Linked DNA regions of Mytilus edulis. The protein of the gene in region 1 purifies or fractionates together with the protein of each later gene. This does not show direct contact. Links are inferred from orthologs where the notes say so. Each region holds a gene or a part of one and is shown in the gene's direction. Other genes may lie near its edges.

Evidence for each region.
Region 2: the proteins of COP9 signalosome complex subunit 3-like (region 1) and DDB1- and CUL4-associated factor 11-like purify together in Homo sapiens (affinity purification with mass spectrometry; 3 studies listed by BioGRID and IntAct, counting the BioPlex papers as one, with this or other methods). This does not show direct contact. The link is inferred for Mytilus edulis from reciprocal best matches to the Homo sapiens genes COPS3 and DCAF11.
Region 3: the proteins of COP9 signalosome complex subunit 3-like (region 1) and DNA damage-binding protein 2-like purify together in Homo sapiens (affinity purification with mass spectrometry; 7 studies listed by BioGRID and IntAct, with this or other methods). This does not show direct contact. The link is inferred for Mytilus edulis from reciprocal best matches to the Homo sapiens genes COPS3 and DDB2.
Region 4: the proteins of COP9 signalosome complex subunit 3-like (region 1) and DDB1- and CUL4-associated factor 1-like purify together in Homo sapiens (affinity purification with mass spectrometry; 5 studies listed by BioGRID, with this or other methods). This does not show direct contact. The link is inferred for Mytilus edulis from reciprocal best matches to the Homo sapiens genes COPS3 and DCAF1.

What each region holds. Positions count from the first base shown.
Region 1 is NC_092352.1:14,420,092-14,427,418, forward strand, and holds the start of COP9 signalosome complex subunit 3-like, read left to right. Parts: upstream 1-4,325; 5' UTR 4,326-4,392; coding exon 4,393-4,447; intron 4,448-7,327. UniProt on the Homo sapiens protein: Component of the COP9 signalosome complex (CSN), a complex involved in various cellular and developmental processes.
Region 2 is NC_092348.1:88,946,276-88,953,215, forward strand, and holds the start of DDB1- and CUL4-associated factor 11-like, read left to right. Parts: upstream 1-3,915; 5' UTR 3,916-4,206; coding exon 4,207-4,475; intron 4,476-6,940. Other genes in the region: N-acetylglucosamine-1-phosphodiester alpha-N-acetylglucosaminidase-like, read right to left, coding at 1,010-1,434, 3,716-3,768. UniProt on the Homo sapiens protein: May function as a substrate receptor for CUL4-DDB1 E3 ubiquitin-protein ligase complex.
Region 3 is NC_092356.1:11,910,890-11,918,506, reverse strand, and holds the start of DNA damage-binding protein 2-like, read left to right. Parts: upstream 1-4,604; 5' UTR 4,605-4,729; intron 4,730-7,617. Other genes in the region: triosephosphate isomerase-like, read right to left, coding at 560-692, 1,236-1,320, 2,567-2,690, 4,353-4,467.
Region 4 is NC_092344.1:96,408,364-96,415,424, forward strand, and holds the start of DDB1- and CUL4-associated factor 1-like, read left to right. Parts: upstream 1-4,043; 5' UTR 4,044-4,130; intron 4,131-5,463; 5' UTR 5,464-5,497; coding exon 5,498-5,607; intron 5,608-5,991; coding exon 5,992-6,068; intron 6,069-7,061. UniProt on the Homo sapiens protein: Acts both as a substrate recognition component of E3 ubiquitin-protein ligase complexes and as an atypical serine/threonine-protein kinase, playing key roles in various processes such as cell cycle, telomerase regulation and histone modification.

The sequences.
Region 1 (7,327 bases):
GTGCCTTCTATCCAAATTAATTCAGACATCAAATGTTAGTGTGTCTTGATAAAAGAGAAGTGGAAGAATACAAAGGAGCATTATAGTTGATGACAAACTGATAAAGCCATGTAAAAAAAAAGAAAAACAACCAAATCCCAGAAATCAAGTGCTTGTAAGCACTGAATGGTAAAGATTGCTTTAATTTATCAGTTGGAAGAAAAATTTAATATTGCATTGGTTGTAGATGTTTTAACAGCAATTCTAGACAAAGGAAGATAACTCCATTTTTTTTTTAAAGATGACTTTAACAATGGCATCATTTATATTCTTAGAACAGGTATAAAATTCATGCCCTTTATAGCTTGTTGTTCGGTGTGAGCCAAGGCTCCGTGTTGAAAGCCGTACATTAACCTATAATGGTTTACTTTTTTTTAAACTGTTATTTGGATAGAAAGTTGTCTCATAGGCACTCACACCACATCTTCCTATATCTACCTAACAAAAGTTATGTAATTTTCATGACAAGTGTAACATCATTTTGTGCCTTGAATATCTGAGCATATATTACATTGTTAAATTTCTGGAAATGTTCATGGACAGGATATATAAAATATTATGATCAATACACTATAATATGTGTATCAATAAGGTTGTGATAAGTCTTGGAAGAATTGATATCAAGTCAATCCCATAAGGTTTTGATTGAATTTCATGCAATCTTTACCTTTAAAATTATGACATAGAAAAGAAAAGACTAAGCAACAGACCCACAAAAAAAACAAAAAAACTCTGGTATATTTGTATAGATTATCGGGTTTTCTACACATTGATATCGTTAAATATCAGAGCGAGCCACAATGCGAACCTTTTTGGCGAGTGAGCGTAGCGAACGAGCTAAAAAGTTTCACATTGTGTCGACCGGCTGATATTTTACGATATCTATACGTAGAAAATCCGATTATCTGTTTATCGTTCTATTAATGGTATTTTTTCCTCTCCCTAAGACAGTTTTAAGCTTGACGAAAGCAAGCTTGATAACTTCTCCTCTCGCATTGTGACGTCGCTGATAACTTCTCCTCTCACATTGTGACGTCGCTGATAATGCCTGGTCTCGTTTTGAAGTCTTGATACGAGAATTACTGAGCGACAGAGCAGGGTGATATAGGCGTAGGGAAGGACGATAATAAGATTTATTGGGATAAAAGACAACTTCAGAATAGCAAAATAATGAAACTTTGAGACCAAATGTCATTTCCCAAAAATGCAATTAGAGCAAATTGAGTTAATCATATTAAAATAAATAGGTAATAAAAAATTAGAAATTATGTGTTTTTGGTTTTTTGATCTTTAAATCCTGATCCATTATCTCTATTTTTCCAGATTTTCTCTTTGGAGTAGTATCAGTAATGCCCCAACCTTATAGAATAATAGGTTATGCAATTGTGATAGTTGTGGTTTTACCATCAATATAGTTTTAGTAACAAATGTGAATTTAACTAAGTTTCTGGGCTCAAAGTTATCAGAATTTTCTCAGAATTCTTACCTGTGTTTAGTTTTATCTCATTTCATTAGTTACAAAGGTTTTAGGTTCACATTTGTTTAAAGTCTTTAAGTTTTTATTCATTTTATACTCAACTGATTTTACCTTCAAACCAGAAGTGGGATTTAGCTTGTGCAGAAGCACAAACTTTTAGTAACCTAATTTCATTGGTATATTGATAATTATTTCAGTCAATCAGAGCATGATATGTTAAAAATTTTCAAAGTCTTTCAGGAAGATAGTTATTTCATATCCTAAAAGCTAGGTATTTTACAAAGTAAAACCTATGAACTGTAAAGGGTTCATTCAAGTTAAAAAGGTCATACTTTTTTTACCATATAAGTCTGTATATTCCTTATATTCATTGGTACATTTTGTACATGTCTAAAGGCGACAGGTATGTTACCCAATGGAATTGTATTCAATTCTAGTTTTTGATACCATTTACTTAGATTAGTATTAGAGAGGACTGTTTCAATCCATTATGTTGGTATTCAAACTTGAGCAATTTTGTGGTCTATAAAGAGTTTTCTTTTTTTTTTGTTAGATGACTTTTTGTTAGGACGATTTTATAGATGGCACTGGCTACAGTTACATGGAAATGTAACAATAATAAAAATATTATTGTTACATTGGAGACTAATTGCCGGAATGCAAAGTTGGGTAAGGAACCGATTAATTATGAATGTAACAATAATTATTGAGGCTACGGTTACATTGCATTATTGTTACATGAAAAACAGCAATGTACGCTAGATTTATTAAACTTAAATCTTCTATTTAGTTTTGTTGCTTAATTCATTCAGGTCTACTAAATAATACTTGTTATAATAATAAATATTATTATTCAACAAATGGTGTTTAAATAGTTTTAGGTATTAATGGATTTGATGTTCTTAAAGATACTAGGCAATATAGGAAAGGTGTACCGACATAAGTAGTCTCTAAACACATTAGCTCCAAATGGAGCTTTCGTTAGTTCTTAAAGATACTACTTCAAATTAGTAGTGCCAAAGGCAAAAAATATAGTTCAATGGTTTGTTGTTGAAAACTCAGGCTGAGAAAACTGTTCACTTTTAAGTATTTAACTGCACACCTACTCGTATTACTGTCATTATACTTTGAACAAAAGATGAAGAGATTCCTATTACCAATTCTGTTTGGGTGAAAAATTTAAAACTTGCATGGGATGCGTTTGAAACGAAACTGAAACAATATCAAGACACAAATTTCATACCGCTATACAACGCACTTACCAAAAATTGGTACATCAAAAAGTTTGCTGACTGTGAACTAACACTGTGAACTTCTGTATACATGTATAAAATTGAGAATGGAAATGGGAAATGTATCAAAGCGACAACAACCCGAACATAGAGAGACAACAGCCGAAGGTCACCAATGGGTCTTCAATGTAGTGAGAAACTCCCACACCCGTCAGAGGCGTCCTTCAGCTGGTCCCTAAACAAATATGTATACGAGTTCGGTGATAATGGACGTCATACTAAACTCTGAATTATACACAAGAAACTAACATTAAAAATCATACAAGACAAACAAAGGCCATGCAAAGGCACCTGACTTGAGAAAGGCGCAAAATTGCAGCGGGGTTAAACATGTTTATGACATCTCAACCCTCCCCTATACCTCCAGCCAATGCATAAAAAACAAACGCACAACACTACGCATAGTAAAACTCAGTTTAAGAGATGCCTAGTCCGATTTCAGAATCCATGGAGGACGTACTATAAAAAAATCAAAAATTGTATGTTATACTTGTATGTATTGTAAATATAAGATAATGTCTTCAACTTTTATTATTTAGTACATATTACTAGTCCCATCGAATATTGCTGTTTTTCATGAAACAATAACGCAATGTAACCGTAGCCTCAATAATTATTGTTACATTGGTAATTAATCGGTTCCTTATCCAACCATGCATTCCGGCATTTAGTCCCCAATGTAACAATAATATTTTTATTATTGTTACATTTCCATGTAACTGTAGCCAGTGCTTGCTTTATAGATACTTCCAGTAGGTCAATTGTCAAATCCTGGTTTCAAAGTTAGATAAATAAAATAAATAAGTATAACTTGTTTGATATTGTAAGCTGATTAAATTTTGTAATTTGTTATAATAAAAGTTGTGCTTTAAAATCTTTGTTTTTCAAAGCCTATACAAGCATCTGATGATCTGAGAGATACGAACCAGGACAGGTACTTACCAGGACAGGTACTTTACTACACGGTCCAGGACTAGTCCCAATCGAACCCCACAGTATACTGGGACCTGTTCCTGTTACACAATGATCTAATAAATGCAGAGATGTGTTTTGTGCAGTTGCTTGAGGATTTCAAGACTCAGGCTCTATACAAATTAAAACAGGCTTTCAAGTTTTTTGAAATAGTTGTTTTTTAGCTTCATTAAAATTCCTAAGTTTATAAAGATGTCAGACGTTTGTTCTATTTTGGAAGAAAGATCCTTTATACATCAACCTATTTTAAGTATATTAAATAGTTCATATTGTTTCACTTGCTTTATGAACATGTATATAGAATAGAATAGAATAGAATAGAATATATATATACCATCTAACGTCCCATAGACTGTCGTTCTATTTAATGACCTATTTGTTTATTACCGCTTAAGATCATAAACAATTGACATGCATTAATTTTGATATGATTTCCACTCATTTAGTTTGTAGAAAAAAAACATTTTGAAATTTGGAATTTCAGATATTATTTTTAAATGTATATTTACAAGTCATAAGGCTTTTTAAGAAAAAAATAGATATTATCTTATTGTTGTAAGCGACAACTGAACATTGGTGAAAAATCCTGCTTCTAGAAAAATATAACAGACTATGGCCTCAGTCTTAGAGCAGTATGTCAATACAGTACAGAACCTGTCTTCCCAAGGTATAAGAAATAATTATTTCAGCATTAAAAATTAAATTCAATCAACTAGTGTAGACAAATCTTACAGTTACATGACATTTGAACCCCATCTCCTAAAATAAATGAAAAAAAATCATCATTTTACTCTGTCTTGTTGAGTGGGTCCGGGGTAATTCCGTACACTTTCGGTCCTAAATGAATATCATTTGGTTCCCTGTTTGATACAACAAAGTTCAAGAAGGAAACCGGTAACTAGATTATTCGTAGATTGTAGACGTGTATGACTTTTTCTTTAGCAATCAACAAAAAATACCAAGAATGACTAAATCGTACTGAAAAGTCACAGTAGGGTAAATACGTACGCATGTCGTGTATCTTCGTACACCATGATGTGTAATTCCGTACAATTATATTACATCGATATAATTCAAAATACTGTTTCTCTTTGGAAAGAGCTTTCCTGATTTTTGTCGAGCCTTCGACTTTAGTCGAAAAAGCGAGACTAAGCGATCCTACATTCCATCGGCGGCGGCGGCGTCCACAAATATTCACTCTGTGTTTAAAGTTTTTGAAATTTTAATAACTTTCTTAAACTATACTGAATTTCTACCAAACTTGGACAGAAGCTTGTTTATGATCATAAGAAAGTATCCAGAAGTAAATTTTGTAAAAATAAAATTCCATTTTTTTCCGTATTTTACTTATAAATGGACTTAGTTTTTCTGCGAGGAAACATTACATTCACTCTGGTTAAAGTTTTTAAAATTTTAATAACTTTCATAAACTATCCTTGATTTGTACCAAACTTGGACAGAAGCTTGTTTATGATCATAAGATACATTTGTAGTATCACGAAGAAAAATTTGAAAAAAAAAATTTCCACTTTTCCGTATTTTACTTATAAATGGACTTAGTTTTTTTGCCAGAAACAAAACATTCACTCTGTCATGTCTGTGGTTTAAATTTTTAAAATTTTTATAATGTTCTTAAACTATCCTGGATTTCTACCAAACTTAGACAAAAGCTTGTTTCTGATCATAATCACTTTTTCCGTATTTTACTTATAAATGGACTTAGTTTTTCTTCCAGTTAACATTACATACAGTCTGCAGTTAAAGTTTATAAAACATTTATTAGATTCATAAACTATCCTGGATTTTTTTTTACCAAACTTGGAAGCTTCTTTCAATCAAAAGACAGTATCGAGAGGGAAATTTTTATTGATGTTTTTCCTCATTATTGTTGAGTCTGCGATTAACAACAAAAGTAGGCGAGACACTGGGTTCCGTGGAACCCTTACAATTTTTTTTTTAAAATAGAACTTTTTCCAAAACTCAATCGGCAGTGAATATGGATAAAATTAAAAGCTTTATTGCATATTATTTATAAATTAAAAAAAATGCAGGCATGGAATTGGATCATACAACGTTTTTTTTCTTATAAAAAGTTAAATCAACTTTGTTGACCTCTAGTTGTTAACTTATAGCTTGGTTTATCTACTTTAGGGCAGCAATATGATCGTGAATAGTCTTTACAGGAACTCCATATTTCATGGAAGATTTTCTTAGTGACATATTGTTGTGTTTGACATCATTTACAGCTTTTTGCAAACTTTCAGTGGTATAGCTTTTACGTTTTAGGAGAGTTTTCCTTTTTTTGGCATAACTGAAAAAAGAGAAGACAAAAGTTAAAGAAATTGATAAATATTTTATTAATTACAATTATCTCAAAGAAAAAGTATGTTTAGTCAGACCAGGACTGGTATTCAAACTCATCAGTTGTTTCTAAAAGTGTCCTCAAATTTTCAAGATACGGATGTATTCCTACAGGTAAGTTTGATAATTGATGATGATGAACCAAACTTCGCACTTAATAAGTTAATGGTAGTTCTCCTACTTCATATGATGATAACCATTTTTTAACAACATTCAATGCAATATTTCCAATGGTTTTATCGGAAAGCTAATGTACAATGCAATCAACCACAAAGTATTGCTTGACTTCATGAAACATTGGCATGTCTAGTTTCATAAGCTGCCATGCAATTAGGGAGGAGTAGTTGTTATGTATACCAATATCTCTGTTCATTAAATATATGACAACTGAATGTTGATTCATAACTGAAAAATATAAAGAATGGTTTCTTTTTTTACAATTTATTTCGTTCTACGAATATTGTTGATGCCAGTTAACTTTGTATCTTTTTTTTTTTTAATTTGCTTCTCTTATTTCAGTTCTGTTTTAATTGATAGACAAGTACAGAAATCGTTACTCACCTTTCCCACTTCACCCGCTTATTACTATACACAGGGTCAAATTTTGTAACATCATTTCACGGTGAAATAAAACAACGTGAAGATAGTGTCTGTATTTATGTTTATTTTTTGCGTAAAGTTCACTGGTAAAAGCAAAGGTTAGTAATATATAACGTTTCATTTTATAACATGATATTTCATATATCTGAAAACTGAAGTGTACGATATTAGACTACTTGCATTTTAATGTAAAATATCACAAAGGGTAATACCGTACACCCACTCCTAGTCATATTTTTGGGAAACATCTTCACAAATACTACATAAAACAGTATATGTCAATTGTAAAATATTCAGGGCATTCATTTGCCATCAATTTTCTTAAATTTAGATGCAAGTAAAAAATTCTTACCTTTAAATATCGAAACTTGGTTACTAGCAAAATCTGGTGACTTTTTCCACAAGACTAGCTTTCAAAAAAACCTGCAAATCAAACTTTCCGATCAATCGTGATGCGTATATATTCTGTGGCCATTTTAACTTTAAAGCTTAAAAAAATAAGGTCGTAAATATTTAATTATCTATATACAACACTAAAACACACTTTATTAATCTTATTTATTATAAAAACAACAGAAAAACAATA
Region 2 (6,940 bases), on another chromosome or scaffold:
TCTTAATTGTAGATTTTGTCTTGTTGGTCATTTTTCCTTATTAAAGTTTCTATCTATCAATTCTAATTTTTAAGATATAAGGCAAAAACACAAAAAATGGTAAAAATCATCATCAAAGGGCAATAACTCTAATTAGTAGTTGGCTGACAATTTCGACCATAAGGACTAACTTGTAGAATTGTCTTGCTGATCATTTTTGCATTTGAATGCTACTCTGTATCTAATATAGTCTTCAAGAAAATAGGCAAAAATGAAATAAAATGGTAAAATAAGTCATTTAAGGGCAATAACTCCTATAAGAAGATGTCTGACAGATTTTCTATATTCAGAAATGGTTTTCAAAATCATAGATAAAACTTGCATTTTACCCTTATGTGTTATTTTTAGCCATGGCAACCATTTTGTGCCAACTCGGATCAAAATCCATCTATTGAAAACATGAATGTTTATAATCTGACATTGATAAGACCAACAATGACTGATTCCAACATGTTTGTTGGCAGGCAGGGTCATTGGACCCATTTTTGTTGTTGTTCCCTATTGATATTTTTACTTTTTTGGTAAGTGATGTTCCTTTTCATGGTGTGTATATTTCCCAATGGATATGTTATTATTATTTCATGGATTTCAATGAAAAGATAATAGATTTGAGAATGGAAACAGGGAATTAGAACAAGAAAAAAGAACCCAACCAAAGTCAAAGAGCAGTAAACAGTCCAAGGCCACCAACAGGTCTTCAAAGCAGCGAGAAAATACAGCACCCAGAGATTGGCCTCAGCTACAAATGTATGTATAAAAGTAAATTATCAAATCAGGGATTTTGATACCGAAAAATTACTTAAAACTTTTACAAAACCTTTGATTTCTATAATCATGATAATTAATTTATCATACATTATTGGGAATTCTTAAAGTTATATGATAGGAAATTCTCACAATTTACAAATTTAAGAGAATCTGAAAAAGCTTTCAGAGAATACAAAAACTGATTCAAATATAAAACGGTTACCTAGACATGATCCATTATGTGTATTAAAGAATCCAGCATTGATTGCCATTAAACAATTCTTTTGTTGGGCTGATTTTGGTGTTGTAGACCTGATCTGGTCATCACATCCTCCTTTGTATCCCGGTTCTAATACTGATATAGACCTCACTGGGTTGTTAACAACAGTAAAATGTATCTGTGCGTCACGTTTAATAAACTGCCCGACAGCTTTTATTGCATGGCGAGTTTCAGCTATAGGGTGAATGATATCAGAACTGCCATACCCATGTGCCATATGTTTGGACTTTGTCACATTGCCAAATAAAATATGCTGACAGTCTCGTGTATGTCGATGGCCGTGGTATTTTAAGAGATGGCTAGTAAAATAACTCTGAATTAAATTGTCATGTTCATCCACTGACTGACACTGTATTTGGAAAAATATACTGAAAAATAAAAAAAAGTAATATCTCAAGCTAATACAAATATTGTTTTAGAGTAGTTTCTAGTATGAAATGTTGTAACAAGTGTATGCCAAGACCTGTAACCTTTAATTAAGCTGCTGGCGACTGTCAGAGGCTCTGGGCCAATAAATTTGGAGATAAAAACAAAGAAGAAGTATGTGTCTGAGGACAGGAATGTCCAAGCTTAAACTTGCTATTCAGACAGAAGAACAGACTGAACAAGGGAGGGTCATTCAAGGGTAGCACTTTAATGCCAGCTTCTTCTTGTGTTTAGGAAAAAATTGTGTAGCTTGTGAAAAATAGCATGACTAGTGGACTTTGAATTACACTTGCACTACTGTAAACCAACTTATTTTCACTATTTTGGCGAATAGAAATATAACACAAATATAAATCGTCGCAAATATGTAAAACATGTTTTTTTCCTTTTTTAACTACATCAATAAAATTTAAAAATCATGAAATGGACTGATAAATTAAGGGCTATTTGTGACCCTCAAAAATAAGTTGGTTTACAGTATTACAGCAAGCATAGGCTTCACTATCAGCCATTCAGCTTGAAATCATTGTAAGAAACAAAGGATAGAAATGGCCACAAATCTGAAATTTTGAGGAAATGTCTAAAATTTCTTTCTCATCTCTATAAATAGGACATGAAGCTATTTTTTTTTTATTACATATATCTGATTTGAATAAGTGAAAAATAACTTGAGTACAAATTTTCATTGAAAAAGTCACAGCATGATCAAAACTGTAAGTGTGCCCAATTAAAGCTGTAGTCATCTATTCAAAAGTTTAAAAGATGGATTTATGATTTGGTTGACAGAAATAGTAATTTGTTAAGAGATGACTTATTACATTTTTATGTTTATTTGTTTTAGTCACTATAATGTTGTCCTTTCCTCCAATATGACTATTACATAATCTGCATCTGCAATTTTTGGTAATGTCCATTTGACATGCCTCTATACAGGAATATCACAGTTGTTATCCATTCATTAATCATCAAACTTTTACTTGCTGTAAGCAGCAATACTGGTTCCACTAAATGAGAAGGAAATTCTTATTGTTTTGAAGCATAAAGAATATTGAAATTTTTGCAGATCTTTTAATCATATTAAAGTCACTACGATTAACGACCCTGTTCAAGACTGTAGTATGATTCTAGCATGCTCATGCAAACCTAATCTAACATCACCTTCTTCATACCACCTGACTATGTTCATACTATGACCATTTCGAGTTTTAGTCATTCTCATTGTCACATAAAATATATAAAAGATCTCCAGGTTTTGTTTGAAATATCATTTACAATTTAACCAGGGAAACACAAGACCATGTACATGTAGTAATGCTTATACAATCATTAACACCAATACAAAATCTTAATGACCAGGCCATGATATTGTTATTGAGAGAGCGAAAAAAGAAGAAATTTAAGAGCGCATAGGACATGTTGGGTTAGTCCTTGGAAATCAACAGAAAGGAGACTCCAGTTTGGTTAGGATTAATAATCCTTCTTTAATTTTTTTAGAATGCCACCAGAGATGTTTGATGAACATGATGATGGTACATGTATGAACATGGAATGATCTTGGTATGAGTGATTTATAATGACACTAGAAACCATGGGTTCTTATGTTGTACTGTAACACTGCTGTTACACCACTATCCCAGGTTAGAGGGAGGTTTGGGATCCCGCTAACATGTTTAACCCGCCACATTCTCTGTGTATGTGCCTGTCCCAAGTCAGGAGCCTGTAATTCAGTGGTTGCCGTTTGATTATGTTTTACATATTTGTTTTTCATTCATTTTTTTTAACATATATATATTAGGCTGTTAGTTTTCTTGCTTGATTTGTTTTACATTGTTATTTTGGGGGCTTTTATAGCTGACTATGTGGTATGTGCTTTGCTCAATTGTTAAAGATCTTATCATGCTTATTATGGTGGCCTATAGTTGTTAATTTCTGTGTCATTTGGTCTCTTGTGGAGCAGCTGTTGTGGAGAGTTGTCTTATTTACAATCAATGAATCATACCACATCTTCATTTTTTTTATTAGCTCGTGTTGCAATCAGATAAATCATGGTCTGGTTGTAGTCAAAACACCTATTGGTGTTTAGGTGTTTTTTTCATATAGTTTATTTTACTTTGTTGAACTGTGTTAAAAGTGTCAATTTTAAATATAGGATAGGATTTTTAATCGGGTTTTCGAAAAATTGTTGCAAAAGACAGAAACGACACATTTTGATCCTCATAGTACCTTAAAATAAATAGAAATACATAAATAGGACTACAATAATATCGTTTTTGCATTTCTTAATGCATGTCGTCCACATAGTGTGTTAATAAATATCCTGCATCCACATCAGCGATCACTTCTGTCATCTGCATATCATTTCGGAATGTTCAGGTAACTAGTTCCGAGAGGCGGAAGTACATGTTTGTTGTGCTTCCGGTTACATTTTATTTCTTTGGTCAACAACTGGAACATTGTCATTGTCTTGGATTTGTTGTGACATAGAATCACCAGGCTGGAATCAATCCAAATTATTATTTTTACTAAAACTTATGCTTTTAATGGCTGCAGCAATTAATCAATTGTCAAAAATTAGCAAGGAAAAATAGATAGTGTTTTTCTTACATAATTTTTTTTATAAATATTGTGTTAGTTTATAGTGAATTATATCCAAGTAAAACTGTTTAATATGGTAACAAAGACTTTTCATAGTGATCTTGAGACAAAATGTGTTGATGGGTTCGAGTAATTCTAGGAGAAGCAGAACTATGAGCACAAGTAGTGAGACTGAAACAGAAGTTTTGGGAGCTCAAGGTGGATCAGATTATCCATCGGCAAGAGCTGCAGAATATCCATCTCCAAGAGGAATAGATTGTCCGCCACCAAGAGGAGCTGGTGGATCAGATTGTCCTGCACCAAGCAGGGGAGCAAACTCTTCAACTAGAACTGGCGTTGAAGAGGATCAGCACGATTTACAAGCAATACTGGCATACCTAATACGCAGGTAGCTACATGTACTAGACATATCTTCAAGATATTTTACCTAGTAAAATATTTATTGTATACATTAATAAAAACCATGATAATGGATTAGTTATTCAAAGCTAATATAATTATATATAATTAGCTATTTAATTATGCATTGTCGTAATTAAGGAATGCAGAAACAGCTGTTTTTCTTGTGAGTGTTTTTGTGAGCGGTACAGGTAAATTTTTATCATTAGGAATAATATGAACGAAATAAGATGAGGCAACAAAAAAACATTTACAAAAAGGTAGGTCATTCACATTGCACAGATTTCAGTTACCATGTAATATCAGTTCTTCCTTGAACTAATACATGTATTAATATGTTCATGTAAATAATATCTTTTGGTTCTAAATTCTACAACTTTTCTATACGTAACATTTTGTAGCTACATGTATGGCACAAAATATTTTGGCAGTCAACAGGACTAATAAGTCATTAAAGCTTATTGCAATGTCAGGTTCAACTTCTAATTCACTGTAGAATATTTCTACATTGTACAGTAGGAAAAGCTTGGATTAAAGATGCATGTACAAATGTACATGTACATGTACATAAACATGGATCCCAGATACTGTACATGTACATTAAAAGTTACAATACTGGTACAAAATTTTTATAATACTGGTATACCAACTACAGGAGATCCTAAAATTACATTGTACATCTACTAAATTAACTAAATTAGAAAATCATGAAATTAAATAGCTGTGAAGTGGACTAGAATGTGGACATTGAACATGCACTTAAATGTATGAGATAAAAAGACAAAAGCAAAAATAAAATGACATTTTGCACAATCGGTGTGCATAAATTTAAAATGTACAAAAAAAAATTGAAGATACATTTTCTGTACATGTATGCATATCTATTGCAATATTTTGCGAAATTTCGGCATTTTTTGTTATTGATAATTAACAAATATTGACATATATGTCATCTGCTTTACTTTTAAAGTAAAAAAATGGTAAAAACTTATATCATTACTCTAGATCTTATAAAAAAAATCACAAATTTTGAGAACCAGCTTCTTATTGGAGAACAACTGGAGAATGACATAAAATAAATTATATTTCATGTACATAATTATAATACCATATATACAGCCATAAATGATCTGTGTCAACATTTTAAGTAGCCAACCAAAATATTATAATGCTCGGATTTTAAAATTTAACATATATATATACATTGTAAATTATAATTAATTGAAAATATATCAAATAATTGTTGGTATCAAAATTTATGAAAGTCAACATTTGAACATTGGCTTGTACATTTTGTACATTCTGTATGTAGGACACAGTGTCAGTCTCTGTGGCCTTTTTGACATGTCAGTCATGTCAGTTGTCTAGTCTTGATATCTAATTCAGAAATTTATTTGTGCATTTTATTATTGTGATTTTTAAAGAATGAACCAAAATGTCGGACTATTTATTGTGATTTAAGGAAAATCTGCTTACTTGTGTAAATGTACATGTAGGTACATGACTACATGTATCAGGTATCTGCTGAATGCAAGATCTAATTATTTCGATACTCCCTTTGTCGCAATAATAAAAACATGAAAATTTCTGAATTAACAGTATTTATTTAGGCCACACCAATTTAATTTCTTGTTCTACAGATTTTTGGACTCCAAAAATTGGGGCGAGCGAGCGAGCGATTTGAAAATTTTAATAAAAAAATATTTATTTTGCAAATTTTTGAGGCGAAGCTTGAAAAGTAAAGGCGAGCGATTTTTTTTTTTGTAAACATAAAATAGTAGGTTTTGATAATATTAAAACTTGATTTATCACTTGTACTTTGACATTTCTTTAATTTATGAAGTACTTTTCCCATTTCACCAAATAAATAATTGAATAATTAGATTTGGTATATGTACATGTATATGTGTGCCAATTAATGAGACAATTCTCCATCCAAGTCATAATAAGGTTGGGAACAACCCCTCAATTTTATAAATATCCTTTTTATGAGGGGTCAATATAAGTTACAATATATTTTTTGTAAATAAAACTTTTTAGTACAAAAGAGCTCATATTTTCCCAAAGAGCTATATATCTATCTGGTATTAAATGGTCAAAACATGCCCAAGAATTTTGTAATATTCCTTGACTTAGGCCATGTTAACACATTTACTTTAATATTATTCAAAATAAATAATATCATAAATAATTCTCTTTAAGAATATAGTAATGTTGTTTAAAATTATTTAAATATGATGTATTTCTCCTCTCTTTTAGTTAATTTTTTTAAGTTCTTCAAAGGATTTGTATAGTAACACTATGCAAATCCTTGGTATTTCTTCAAGTTTCTTTTTTACAACAGTAAAATGACCCCATATGTGCCCTTCTGAGGGATAATAGCAAATACAGGTCATAGTACGTACGGCGGAGCTTTGACCCAGACCAAACAGCAAGCTATAAGGGACCCCAAAA
Region 3 (7,617 bases), on another chromosome or scaffold:
AGTTTTATTTCCCTTGGCAATCAAGCTGGAGGTGAGGCTGGTTTCAATATAACATAATTTAATTATTTTCCTTTTTTTTTTATATTTACCAAATAACAAGAATGTATCCATATATATAGTACATGGATGCCCTACTTGCACTTTCATTTTTATGTTCAGTGGACCGTGAAATTGGGGTAAAAACTCTAATTTGGAAAATTAGACAGATCATACCATAGGGAACATGTGTACTAAGTTTCAAGCTGATTGGACTTTAATTTCATCAATAACTACCTTGATCAAAAACTTTAACCAGAAGCGATACGAACAGATAAATGGATGGACAAACAAAGGGATGCATAGACCAAAAAAACAAACCATAATGCCCCTAATATGGATAAGTGGACTGAAAATAACATATAACACCGACCATTATTTTTTAGGGAGAATCCTAACCTGATAATTTTAAACATGAGGAATTGAGAACAAGAGAATCAAGAGAATCAAGCAACATATTTTACTATGTAGAAAAAGCATCAATGGACTAAGAATAAGAGAACGTATTGCCAGATATACATACCAACTATTGCCTGCATTTGTCTATACACCACCTCTTCTGTTTTGCCTCCTTCTCTTTCTTCTATTTTTTCACCAATACAAGCTATTACTTTTACACCTTGGCTTAAAGCATATTTTACTTTTTCTCCAATCAGCTGAAATCATAAATCAGTCATCTTTATGTAAACTAAAACAAGAATGTGTCTGTAGACACAAATGCTCCCCGCTCAAACTTACTTTAATGTTAATTCAGAAATTATTGCGTGCATTTATTATTCCGAATTTGTTATTTAAGACTTAAATGCAATTTTAATTTTTGCGATAGGGAGAAAAATCAAGATTTCATAATAATTCATATAAATAATTTCAAATTTGAGTTTTAATTTTTGCAATAATAACTGTCGCATATTTGTAATAATAAAAATATTGCATTAATTTCTGAATTTACAGTACTTAATATATATATTTGAGATAATTTGTTAACACTACTTGACTCTCCGTACAGTGACCTATAGTTGTTAATTTCTGTGTCATTTTGGTCTCATTGGCAATGATACCACATCTTCTTTTTTATATCTTATAAAACCTGTATCATATATTTTTCAATCCTGCCAGTTAGATCCCACTTATTTCCCTCCCCCCCCCCCAAAAAAAAAGTGAAGACATTAAAAAAAGAAGACAGAAGACCATTCACTCACCTGATCGCTTTCTCCAAAAACATTTCTTCTTTCTGAATGACCTAGTATCACCCATTCACATCCAATATCTTTAATCATATTTGCACTAAAATAAACGGATATGTTATAATATATAGGGTTATTGCATGAATATTGGGGAATATTGTCCCAAGTAGAATTTTATATTGCACTAGTACAATAAATCTTTTTATTGTATAGCAATGTAATATTTCCCACAGAAAGTAACCAAAAGTTAGCGTGCAATAAATTCCAATATTGCACTAGTGCAATAAATCTTCAAAATTCATGACGTCATCAACGACAAAATCTCAGTTTACACCAGTTTTTACTTTCAAATATTATATTGCTATACAATAAAATTGTTATTGCATGAATATTGGGGAATATTGTCCCTCATAGAACATATATTGCACTCGCAAGCTCGTGCAATATAAAATTCTACTAGGGACAATATTCCCCTAATATTCATGCAATACGTAACCAATTTAATATTTGAAAGTAAAAATTGTTTTAAACTATGATTTTGTTGTTGATCATGTTGATGACGTCATGAATTTTGAAGACAATATATTGCACTTGTGCAATATATTGGAATTTATTGCACGCTAACTTTTAGTTACCTTCTGTGGGAAATATTATATTGCTATGCAATAATAACCTTTATTGTTCATCATGTTCATGTCATATAAACAAATTAGAAATGTTTGTGAGAAAAACATATATATATATTGGACTGCGATTGTTGCTATAGGAAAAACATCCCAAAAATTTCTGAATTATATTATAACTGTAAATACAGAAATAATTGCATGGTTTGTATTATTATAATGTGTATCCCAATAACTTGGATTTAAAAATCTGATATATTAAAATATAATGGCTTGCATCTTTGTCCATTCTTAATAAATGCCCATTAGACATGTCAGAGGAAGAAGGTAGAAAACATGACTTTTGTTTTTTTAAACGACAGTGAAAATACGTGAATAATAAGGGAGATAAATCAAATCTTTCCCCATGACAGGCACCAAAGAGAAGCACAGAAATGACAGAGGGGGGATCTGGGACCAAATATCTACACCTATATCTAGGACATTACTTTAACATGTGTAAGGAAGCAAACAATGACTTCAATGGGGGGTTATGGTTTTTTGTCAAGACTCAAATTTTTGTAAAAAGTTTTTCAACGCTATAACATCAAATAACTTTTTTCATAATTAGCATTAGGATTCAGAAATTTTTCATTGTTTTTTCCCTATCTGCTTGATTAAATTTTGGAACAGCATATTTTTTAGTTAATGGTCATTCCCTAACTTATTGAGCAATATTAACACCTTATATCCCCAGTAAAGGCTCCTTTTTCTACTTTGTAACAGTTCTGTCCAGCAACTCCTATCTTTTGGTCAAGTTTCCCTCGTACATACTCCATGTAAATGGCTGGAGGAGAAACTACAACCTCTGAAAAGGAATTAAAAATATTAAATATTGTGAAAGAAAATATACATGGAGGGTGTACAAATTTTTCACTGAATTAAATTTTTGTGAGAAAAATATCTTGTCACATGGTCTGTTGGTACATTTTTTTTTAAGTGTTCTTGTTTTCAAGAAGGTTGTGTTTAATCCTGGCCTGGTCAAATTAAAGTTGAAAATTTGAATAAAAAAGTTCCCTCTTATAAGCATATGGCAACGTTCTGGTCAGCTCAAAGTCAGAATAAAATTTTGGATAGTGTGACATAAAATTGAGAATGGAAATGAGGAATGTGCCAAAGAGACAACAACTCGACCATAGAAAAAAAAACAACAGCAGAAGGTCACCAACAGGTCTTCAATGTAGCGAGAAATTCCCGCACCCGGAGGCGTCCTTCAGCTGGCCCCTAAACAAAGATATACTAGTTCAGTGATAATGAACGCCATACTAATTTCCAAATTGTACATGTCCACACTATTAAATAGTGAAATAGAATAATGGCAATTTAGCTCAGTGTGTCCCTCAACATACTCAAGAACCCAGTTTCTCACTAAGGCCAAAAAAAATAATACATGTGATTCCGCTGACCCTACCTACCCTAACATTTTTTATGCCATTTTGGAATAAGCACAGTAAAAGCCAGACTGTTTCCCTAGTAGTAACCAGATGTATATGGTTTTAATTTGTAAATAATAATTACTGTACTTTAATGCTGGTTTTGATAATTGAGGAGGGAAGGCCTCATGATTTTACAAGCAAGAGTCATTTTACACTCAAGAAGAGTCCTACTCTGTATTGAAAGAAGAAGAACAAAAAATGTTTGTAAAATAAAATGATATTACCTACCTACCCTATTTTATTTCAGCACGTTAGCGGAAACAAAAGTCACGTGTAAAGAAAAAATCTCTGTGTAGTTATATTGGACATGTATCTATTTTTAAAAAATGACTGAACTTAATTATTTGTGGTGATTAGGAAAGTAGAGGAACATAGAATAAATGTTTAAAAACTATGGAGCTATTGAATGTGTTCAAAGTATTAAATTTTCAAAGAACTTATTGTGTTAAAAAGGGGATATTTTACCACAAGGAGCCGCATCACAAAAGGATGTTCAGGGTTTGCTAATTTACGGAAAAAGTAATCTCACTTCGTACCCCGAAAATTTAACCACATATGTGAAAATGTCAAAGCTTCGAAACGAGCTATCATACATGTCCAAGTTTACGATATGGACTGAGCTACAGGAAAAAACGTTACCATTACCGCCTATGTAAAAACAATTAAAGATATTGAGCCATGTACAACAATCACTTCGGTATTTTTTCTCTATGACATCAAAATTTGGGTTTTGGTATAATTTGGCTGTCAGATTATTGGGTTGTCACACTAATGGCAGTCAGAATAATGGCATGTGATCAGGTGATGAACATATTTGATGTGAGCACCTGTCCAACTTTTCAGCAAATTCTTTTGAACAGGTTCAGGACAAATCAAAGTAGATCAAAGTAAGGAGTTAATTTGAAATTTTGGTCAAATGAAAATATTCCCGTCCTCAATGTGCACGAATTTGTACTTGGAACCTAAACAGCAATCCATCATCAGCATCAGTGACCGTCACCCCCCTTTTTTGTTTTCTTGTGGAATTTTATCACCTGTATTTGGATCTAATGGTCCTGCGTTAAGAAACTGTATAATTCCATCAATGCTGGCTTTATTGCCATTCATTTTCCAATTTCCTCCAACAAAAAACTTCCTTTGAGATGCCATGGTTGGTGAAAAGTAAGAACGTTTGACTGTTAGCTCGACCGGCCTTGGAGAATACGACCTTGAAGGAAGTGAACAGGACGATCTTCAGTGCGCTTTGTTAAAGGGAGAGAAATGGTAAAACTTCAAGCATTTTAGAATTCTATCCCATCATGCAATTTCCCGCGAAATTTATATAACCTGGCATGTTTACAATATAATATTTTGGTTAAAGAATAACTGGGAAGATTTGATCATTTCTGTCTTGTAAATCTTCGTTTGGTAGGTTACACGGAATCAAGCTATATTATATATATCTAAATTTTCAGTTTTACCATTGCTTAATTCCAAATTGAATGGTAATTAAAACATGGAAAGGTGTCATGATCATTGAGGGTGGTAAAAGGGGGGGAACAAGTATTGTTATAAGACATAATATCACGTTGGACGTGAAATAATTTCTGTAATGTACGTTGCACAAAAAATAAATACTTTTATTTGAACCTTTTGTGACTGAGTCACTGTCTTCTTGTATATATTAACTCTTTGTTTTACTTGATATTCCCGATTTAGACAGTATACACATTTATGATGTAATTGGTTAACGGCTTTTAAAAAAGTATTTCTTGACGATCCTTGCCAAGTGTTTGAATTTTATTTGAAAAATACCGAGCACGCAAAATAAGACTTTGAAAATCACGATGCACGTAAAATTAAATAAGCAGAACACGTTGAACGAGGCACCCCTCATGCACGACTCAACGACAAATAAAAAAGTAAAAACATGTTGAACGTCAAATAAAATACGGCGATCACGTTGCACGAAAATAACCCTTTACCACCCTCATCATTGGCAAATGTTGTCACATCTCATAGGCGGATCCAAGGGGGGGGGGGGGGGGCAGGCCCCCCCTTTTGTGGGAAAAATTTGGTTGATTATATAGGGAATCATTGAAGCATGACTGGAGCAGGCCCCCCCTTAGGAAAAGTTCTGGATCCGCCACTGCATCTCTTATCATTATGTGTTTAAAGATCAGTTTTTGGCTTACATTTATAAAAAAATAAGACAGTTAGAGTTCAGGCACTTGTTTCTATCCATTGGCAGACCCACTAACAATGTATATTTAACTTGTTTCTATCCATTGGAAGACCCACTATGAACGTAAATATAAGTTGATAGTGGGTCTTCCAATTTATAGAAACAATTAAGTGCCTGTGAGTTAAGAGAAAAATCATGATCAGAAGCAAGGTCAATGTCTATATCTCCTTTTTTCAGGAAACAACATATTTTCTCCTTCTTTTAGCCTTAATTGTTCAGTAGCAAATGAGTAGTTGGGATTCAGTTCCCATCTGGCTGTCTCAGAAACCCAGGTTCGAAGACTTTCAGAAAAGAGCGACCATTTTTAGAAAAGAACCAAAAAGGAAATCAACTTTATTTTGTAACCAAAGGAAATTAGCAAATTGCAAATCATTGAAAACCTTATTCTGTGAGCATGGTGAGAGGACTAAATTTAAAATTCATGTGAAAAATTTCAGGTAGGGTCGGATGCCTATCTAATAGAAAAGAAAAATAGAAAAGAATTTTTTTATTCACTTATTAAGGACCCCTTGGAGGGCATACAGCATTACTGTTACAATCAATAATATCATAAACAATAAAATATTCAATACACAGGCAAAAGATATATAACATGAGTTACTGTAAATTCAGAAATTATTGCGTGCATTTATTATTGCGATATGCCGACCACAGGCAAAAATGCGAGGTTTAATTATTGCGACTTGCCGATTAAAAAAAAAATTTTTTTATGCTGAACATTATTGTAAATCACAGATGTTCACATGTCTTTTCGCAAAGTAAAGCTTTGTTCAAATCTATGCATTTAGTTACCTTCCGTATGTTTTCTGTGATTGAATACACAATTCTTAACTGATGTAACTTGTAAAGGGGATCTAGAAACTAAGATGCATTACTAGAACTTATGTGTTGTGCATGCCGACTTTGGGGATCTAGAAACTTAATTGAACATCGACCACGTGCAGAAGATTAGTGTAGAACGAGGCCCGGCTTGGGTAATTATAGGATATTTTTAACTTCAAAAGAAAATAAATTACAATATTAAAAGTTGATAATCGCAATCACCCGTAGTAAATTTGAACTTGTGCTCAATGAACAATAGTAGCTTGTGCTTTATGAACAATATTATCTTCTGATGATCTTTGTTATTTTGTTATTTATTATTTATTTATTGTAATAAATTGTATTATATAACTTGTTTTTATTTCTAAGTTTCAAAAGGTTTACTTATACTGAAAATACACATGCTCCACTGAACAATTACAAACAATATTAACAAAATAAAATAACATCGTAATTTGTCACTTTATATAATAATCGAACAGCATTCAAAAGTAATTACTAGTACTAGTATCCCATTCATAAAAGTTCCCGGCAATATTGTTCAATCATAAACATATTACAGACACATTACCAATTAAAAGTCGAAGTGTTATAAAAATGTCACCTGGCTTCACTGATTACACAGATTAGCGGAAATAAGTTGTAAAAACATATTACCCTTAAATGCCCCAGGTGAAAGGTTAAACACATCACACCACTGAACAAAGGGAGATAAATCAATCACAAATTGACATTGGAAAAATGAAAGTAAGAATGCGAGGTTTAATTATTGCGATCGTCCGACGCTCGCATTATTCGCATTAATAAAAATCTCGCAATAATTTCTGAATTTACAGTATAAAAAAAAATATAAAATCAAATACTTCAGGAAACACGCAACAAAATAATAGTAATATACTATAATTCAAGTTGACATTGACTAATGTGCTCCAGGTTTAGAAGGGTATTTTCCCATAAAAAGAAATACAAGAAGATAAGTAGTTAGTTCTGACAAATATATATACACATATAGTATCATAGTCCCAGCTAATAATGATGTATTTGTTTTTTAATTAATCTTCTTTTATTCCCATCTAGCCCTTTGTTTTATACGAAATAAAAAATTGAAATTAAACAAGAATATTATAAAGTTTGGCATGGTTTACATGTAAAAAAAAATGTAGCAGGACTTGAAATCTTAGTTCAATATTTTTATAATTCTATTTTCTAAAAAAAAGAAATGACACCGTGTTTTTTTCTTCAAAAATATTTAA
Region 4 (7,061 bases), on another chromosome or scaffold:
GGGCTGGATTAATTGTGAAAATCAAAACACAAGTACCCCAATAATATTGCAGGAAAGTGCACATTAACATGACATATATTAACATCATTTGAAAATTTAAATACACAAAAATATAAATGATTACCAAATACTCTAAATGCAGTGAAACAACTCCGAGCTTAATATTTAGGGAACATTGGATAATTTGTTTTTGCCACTGTGTTTTCAGTTTATTTTCGACTTGACAGTTTGAGTGTCACTTTGGTATTTTCGCCTCTTTTAATTTCCTGCAACCTGCCTGCTTTCTTTGTTCATATGTTTTTTGCTTTTTTTTTTAAATACTAAGTAATACAAATAGGCCGGACATACGAAATAAAAAAAAACAAACATAAGTAAAATTTGTTTAATCTGCTCACCGATATCACCTATACTGGCAATAATAAAATGGTTGCTTATCTCCTGGTACATACATTCTTTTATTCGTGTACCATAGGCTAGTAGTGTGGACATATAAGAGAATAATCTAGACATCATAGAGATCTCTGTTGTCCCCACTGTAAATAACGTGGGGTATGGATAAGCTGATATGAAGCACTTTTTAAAGTTTTTACATAGTCAATTATTCTATGTTTTTTGTTAAAGTGTTATATTTGGCAATTTAATAATCTGACTGTATCCTGAACTTATTTTCATAGTATAATTAAAGTGACATGACTGCATGGTGTGGCAGAAGGTTCCAATTCTGGATAGTGCGTGAAAAGAAGGATTGTTTGTACACTTCTGTTTTGGTGTAGCTCTACTTGTCTGTTTGAACGTCTGGTTTGGTTGTCACTTTCTACTAAAGTACTGTCGGTTTCTGGTATGGGAATCATGATATTGATGGCCTTGTACGTGATCAATAGGCGATGGTCTATAGTGATTCCAAGTTAAGAAGTTGAATCATGTTTGTGACACGTTCAGGGCTTTTGTCTCTGTAGTTATTACAGTCATAACGGGCTCTCCCTTTGTACTTTGTCGAGTCTGTTTAGTCATTAACTTTGTATGGGTCTCATTGAGCAGAAGCGTACTCCGCTGTTGGTCGGACCATGGATCTCTGTTGTCAAAGTTCTCGGACTGTTCGGTTAAAATCTCTAAAATTTTGGCGCAAGAATACTCGTTTTGAGGCTTTGGCTGCAGTCTCTATGTGCTTTTTCTGACTCTGTAAAATCAAACCAAAGAAAGATAACAGTATTCAAATAAGGCGACAAAAAGAATGTGGACGACTGTTCCAATTTAAGGCACAAAACATACCAACTGTGTCCAAGAGTCTTTTCACAACGAGGACTGTATTATATATTGTTCCAATCAATATAACATACTGTGTTAAATCCAGGATATGTTTTAATACTTAGAATGTTCATTTCTTGGAAAGATAAACTGTATTTTAATTAAACCTTTTTATTCGCACGACGTACGTTTAGTGCTTTTTAAGGTTTGAATAAGAAACTTAATTTAACACTTGTTTGATTATATTATATAGTAAATTATCTATCAATATAATTAATTTTAAACAAAAAATCTTAAAATTCAAGTTATTCTCAGGATCAAAACGCATGTAAATTACAGGTTAATTCGCGTAAACGTAAAACTATTTCGTGAAAAAAAATGCCTGTCAATCGTATAATAAAAAAATAGACATCATTGTTACAATACTGATTCAGGTTAGGTTGTAGGTTGGCGCCTGTTAAGACTGTTAAACCCGCTTCGTTTAGTGTGTATTTTAATTTAGACGCCATCTAATTAATTATCGAGTTGACCTCTAAAGTAAAGTAATCCGATGGCCATATAAGCTAAGTAAACATAAATATAGATATGAAAAGATTAACCAACTCGTGCTGTTGAATTATTCTAGGTCTATTTGATTTCATATTATAGTGGAAATAGTGTTTTCGTCGTTTTTATCTGTATAAGAATGATGTTTTGTGGATCGAATCAGTCAATCAAATGTTTTACCTTTGTTTCACTTTCAATGTTGACATTCTTTTCCTTTAAAAAAAACTTTACACATACAATTCACGTGTTATCCATCTCAAGCTAAGGAGTTAAATTGAAGTTCACATGAAAACGGATTCAATGAGGTCGAATTATTCACTTGCAAGTGAATTATTCATAATCGATGTTTATTGGCTTATTTTGACAACATTTAACCATACTGGCGGCTCAAGCCGAATTATTATTTCACTATTTGTATTTCATTAATGATAGAGCAAAAAAATATATTAGATTTTTCATAGATTTCGTAGCTAGTGCCTCTTTAAGCTGGATGTTCGGACGGTTGTCATGTTTTGGGATTTTTGTCAGATTCTCAATATCCTATGGTTTTATCCATTTGAATGCCTTAAAAAATTTGCCCATTGACCCCCTATTTTTCTTTTTATGGATCTTTTACATGTATTATTATAAGCCATCTGTAAAAGTCTTATAAAATCTTAGTTATTTGAGAATTGAATGCTTCTTTTTGTAACTTCATTGGGGTGAAAAAGCGTTGACCGAAGCATTTTGTATGAAGCGCTTAAGCGCTAAGCGCTTCATTCTAAAAATGTGCGCACGGTCAACGCTTTTACAACCCTATGAAGTTACGGCAAAAAAGAAGCATTCAATGCTTATAATTACGTTTTTTAAGCAAGAGCATAAAAACACGAATTTTATCAAGTTTTATTTCATTTACCTGTGCACTTTATTGTGGGGCCTCGTGTCATCATGAATGATAAATTTTATTGTGTAATGAAACTGCTTAAAGAATAACGCGAGCTTGCAGAGTAGCCAATCAGAATCTCGTATTATAGTGAAAACACATCTAATGTAAAAAAAAAATAATACTTTTTGAGAACTTTCAATTGTCAATGATAATGCTATAAAAAATAAAGAGAGAATATTTTCCCCGCCAAAATTTCAATGGCTAATATCTCGAAAAACAAGCACATTGACTTATATATATGTTTTGCTTTTTTGGTTGCTTAAGTAACCCCATATCAATATATTCTAGTGTATTGAGAAGCTTGTTATTTTTTCTGGAATATTATTTCTATAGGAATAATTATTACAGTATATGTTCCTAATGGAATAAAAGGTATAGAATATGAGTGACAATGTTTATAACAAAGTTTCCATTGGAACTTCTGTTAGGCGGAACAAATATAAGTTTACAAAATAACCACTGCCATATAATAAATTTGGTAAATGATTTGATGGTACTTTGGGAGTAATAAGTGAGCGATAATATTAAAGCAGATCAAGTCAGTGGCGGATCCAGGGAGGGGTTCCGGGGGTTGGAACTCCCCTTTTTTTGGCCGATCAATGCTAGGATGAAAAATTTTGTCCTGCATTTTTTTTTAGTTGTAATCTCTGTCCTGTCTTTTTATTTTTCACTCTATTCGGTCCTGCTTTTTTTTTTTTTTTTTTTTTAGTTTATCTGCCTTTTTTTTTTTTGGCAAGTGTCTCATCCTGCCTTTTTTTTTTTTACTCAAAACTCCTGTCCTGTCTATTTTTTTCAAATTTCATCCTAGACCCCCCCATAAAAATCAAATGGTAGCTCCCTAATTATAGATCAAAGTACGGCCTTCAGTAAGTAAATCGAAGGAATACGGGTCATTTTTAGCCATATTACTGCGAGTATACACCTTATCGCTATTTGTCCGCCATTGCTGGAAATCACACAGGTTCCCGTAAAATTTTGACGTCATAAAACAAAATGTCTGACGCCACAATGGAAAAGTGATTGTCGTTGACGTCAAAAGTTCAAGCGGACGGGTCAGCCGGGAATAGCGATAAGGTGTATTACTGCGAGAAAAAAATCTCTAAGGTGCATCAATCGGCGGTCCCTAGTTAAGCCTAAGGCTAAAAGGAAAAACACAAACACAATCTTTACATTAATAAAGATTTTATCTAATCTTTATTAAAATCCCACAAGAGAAGAGACATATATGATTACATGTGGACACGAAACTAAGACTCGAAAAGGTGTTTCTTACTTTTAAATATTCCCGCCAAATGCACAATTATTTTTATGGTAAAAATCCGAAAACCGATAGAATGGCTTTTCCTATTACTTTCGTATTCAAAAAAAAAAATAAAGCATGAACGAAAAAGATTGCGGGAAATTTGTTATTTAGGTAGCATAAACATGATAAATAAGAGACAGTTTTCAGTGAAACAAGCAGGAAAATTATATATAGACAAACTAAATGTTGTACTGTCGACTTATTCACATGCTGTACATACTTGTAATCTTTGAAATGCTTACTTTCTCTGTTACTGTAACATAACTAAAAGTTGTTGTGAAATTCACTTTACCAGTATTTTAAATTGACCATACTTTTACATTCATATTAAGATATATGTTGAAGCTAGGACCGAGTATTTTAACTGACACCTGATAACAAGTAAAAAAAAATGTTGACATTCAATGATAATGGTAAAAAGATTGGGAAAACCCCTCAATGTAACTTATGTGTAACAGGGAGAGCATTTCGGAAAATTTCGAACGGGATGGTGAACCTATATACAGAAGACACGCTCATTCCACCAGACATTATCCTGGAACTTAAACATCAACGGTTTCCAATTACCAACTTGCAGAACCATGAGGAAAGAATTGTTCTATCCAAGAATAATAAGGGACTAGACTACCACTTACCACCTCCAGTGCAGGTAGTCTTGAAAGTTTCAAGACTCACCTACATGAGACGATTAGACCACCGTCATGGGTGTTTTTAACCTCACTGTATACACATGTAGAATGTACATTTGTATAGCACAAAAAATGTTAACATAATTTTATCTAAAATATTTACATGTGTATCCAAAAAGTGACAAAATAACACAGGCACTTGTTTCTGTCAATAAGTCGTTTACTATCCATACCCGTACAAAAGTTTTTTAGTAAACCCCATATTGACAGAAATAAGTGCCAGTGCAAATTAATCAGTTTTGTTGATGGTGGCCGCAAAATGGTAGAAGTCGAAGTAGAAGCATGATTCTTCATACAAAATCATCTTTGTCTTCTCCAGGACTTGAAGCCCAGGACCACTGTGTTACAAGGCAGTGTGTATACTGACTAAGCTTAACAAATACTACTGTTGTAATCAGAAGTTTAGACAAACATAGAAAAGACCCATTTGATTTTAATGTTTTGTCATGTTTAAAGTAATACTAATTTTTTGTTTAGTTCACTACAGATTTCTTCTTGCTATACATTTCATTTTTATCATGAAATCTATAGACAACATTAGAATTGGATGCATTTCTCTCAAGAGGTTTTGTTTAAGTGAACATCATTTGTGTGCTTAGGGGAACTGTCACTTTTCTTCCCATGTTGAGTGAGTGGTTTAAAAAATATGATTCTACCAACAAAGGGATATTTGATGTTTGTTGTTTATACATCTATATGTATGTCATGGGAAGCACTGCTACAATATATAACATATGTTGTTTTTATTTTTGCAGGTTAGAAATATACATTGTGTTGTAGAACAGAGATATGGCTGCCCTAGATTCATTGACTAAATTTAATGGTTTTTTGGATGAATGGATTACAAATGAATATCGTAACAGACTTGACAACAATGAAATCATTAACATGCTTACAAAGTAAGGAATACCTAATATATGTTGAGTAGATATACAATAAAACAGAGAAACGCTCTTAAGAGTTTTTGAATATACCGCTTTTCTCAACTACTAATCAGATTGACTTACATTTTGTACTGTGTATCTAACAGTTGTGTACTTAGATGAAAAAGGTTATGATCAGGTCTTGAAGCAAAGATTCAAGTTCATTGTATTATATCATACCAGTTTCATTTTTTTGTTGAGATACATTGCACCTGCATGAATTATACTAAAATACAATTTAAGTGTAACTTTTAATGATACAATCAATTTCAACTGATAATTGAAAGAAATACATGTATATATCAAACTGTTAAAACTAACACGTAATCACACTTTATTCAATAAGCCTATTTATTACAGGTTATCAGATATTATTGAAAGAGAAACAGAAGAATTTTACAAGATGGACCCAGATCCTTTTGATGATAGACATCCAGGTATATTTTCTCCTATGGATTCTATTTAACTTTATGATCTGTAGGGGGTCAGGAGGAAACCGTATAATGAATTTATCACACACAGGACTATTTCTCCAGCATTTTGTAGAAAAAATGGTTTCCGGATAATAACTTTAGTATAAGCATATAGAAAATGTCAACACAAGGTTTGTAACCACTAAAGGAAGGTTTGAATTGATTTTTGGGGTAATGGTGACTAAATGGTCCCAACTGTTTAGGAATTAGGGACCAAAAAAGGGGCCCAAATAAGCATTTTTGTAGTTTCAAGACAATAACTTGTGTTAAATCTCTCTGAAATTATACCACAAGTTTCCATACTACAAAGGGATGGTTAAGATTGACTTTGGGGGTTTATGGCTTAACCTTTTAGCCCCAAAAACCGCCTGTAGGGGTGATGGCGACAACCATTCTTTGATGGCCCATATGACCCTCAATACTTTTTTTGAAGTGCCCAAGCTGAACTGTCATGATAACAGGGACTTCAACCAAGCAGTTCATGATTCATAAACTCTTCTCAGATGTCTGTTTATGAAAATATGGCACTTTGAAAACCGTTTAAGAGTTCAAAATCAGATAAACGTGAAAAGTAGCAAAAATCAGGTGGGGATGGGCAACTTTTGATGTCCACTACGCAACTGGAAGTGACTGTAGGTATAAATAATTTTCATAAATGCATGCATAGGTGGTACAGGAACACAAAGAGGTAAAAAATTGCCAACAGGAGTCTTTCTGTAAAATCTAGGTCACTGTTTTGTCAAAGTGTTGAGGAAGGTAATCCAAATCAATTTTAAAGAACAATATTTGATTACCTCCCTTACACTGCTTGTAAATTATGTATTAAGAAATGATGACTGTCTTGAATTGATTAGCTGTCAATTTATTTTTAGCAGTTCCTATTTATTAATATTAATTTTAGCCATGACTATATATGTCATTTTATATTTTAAAACTTATATGATGTATTTAAATGGG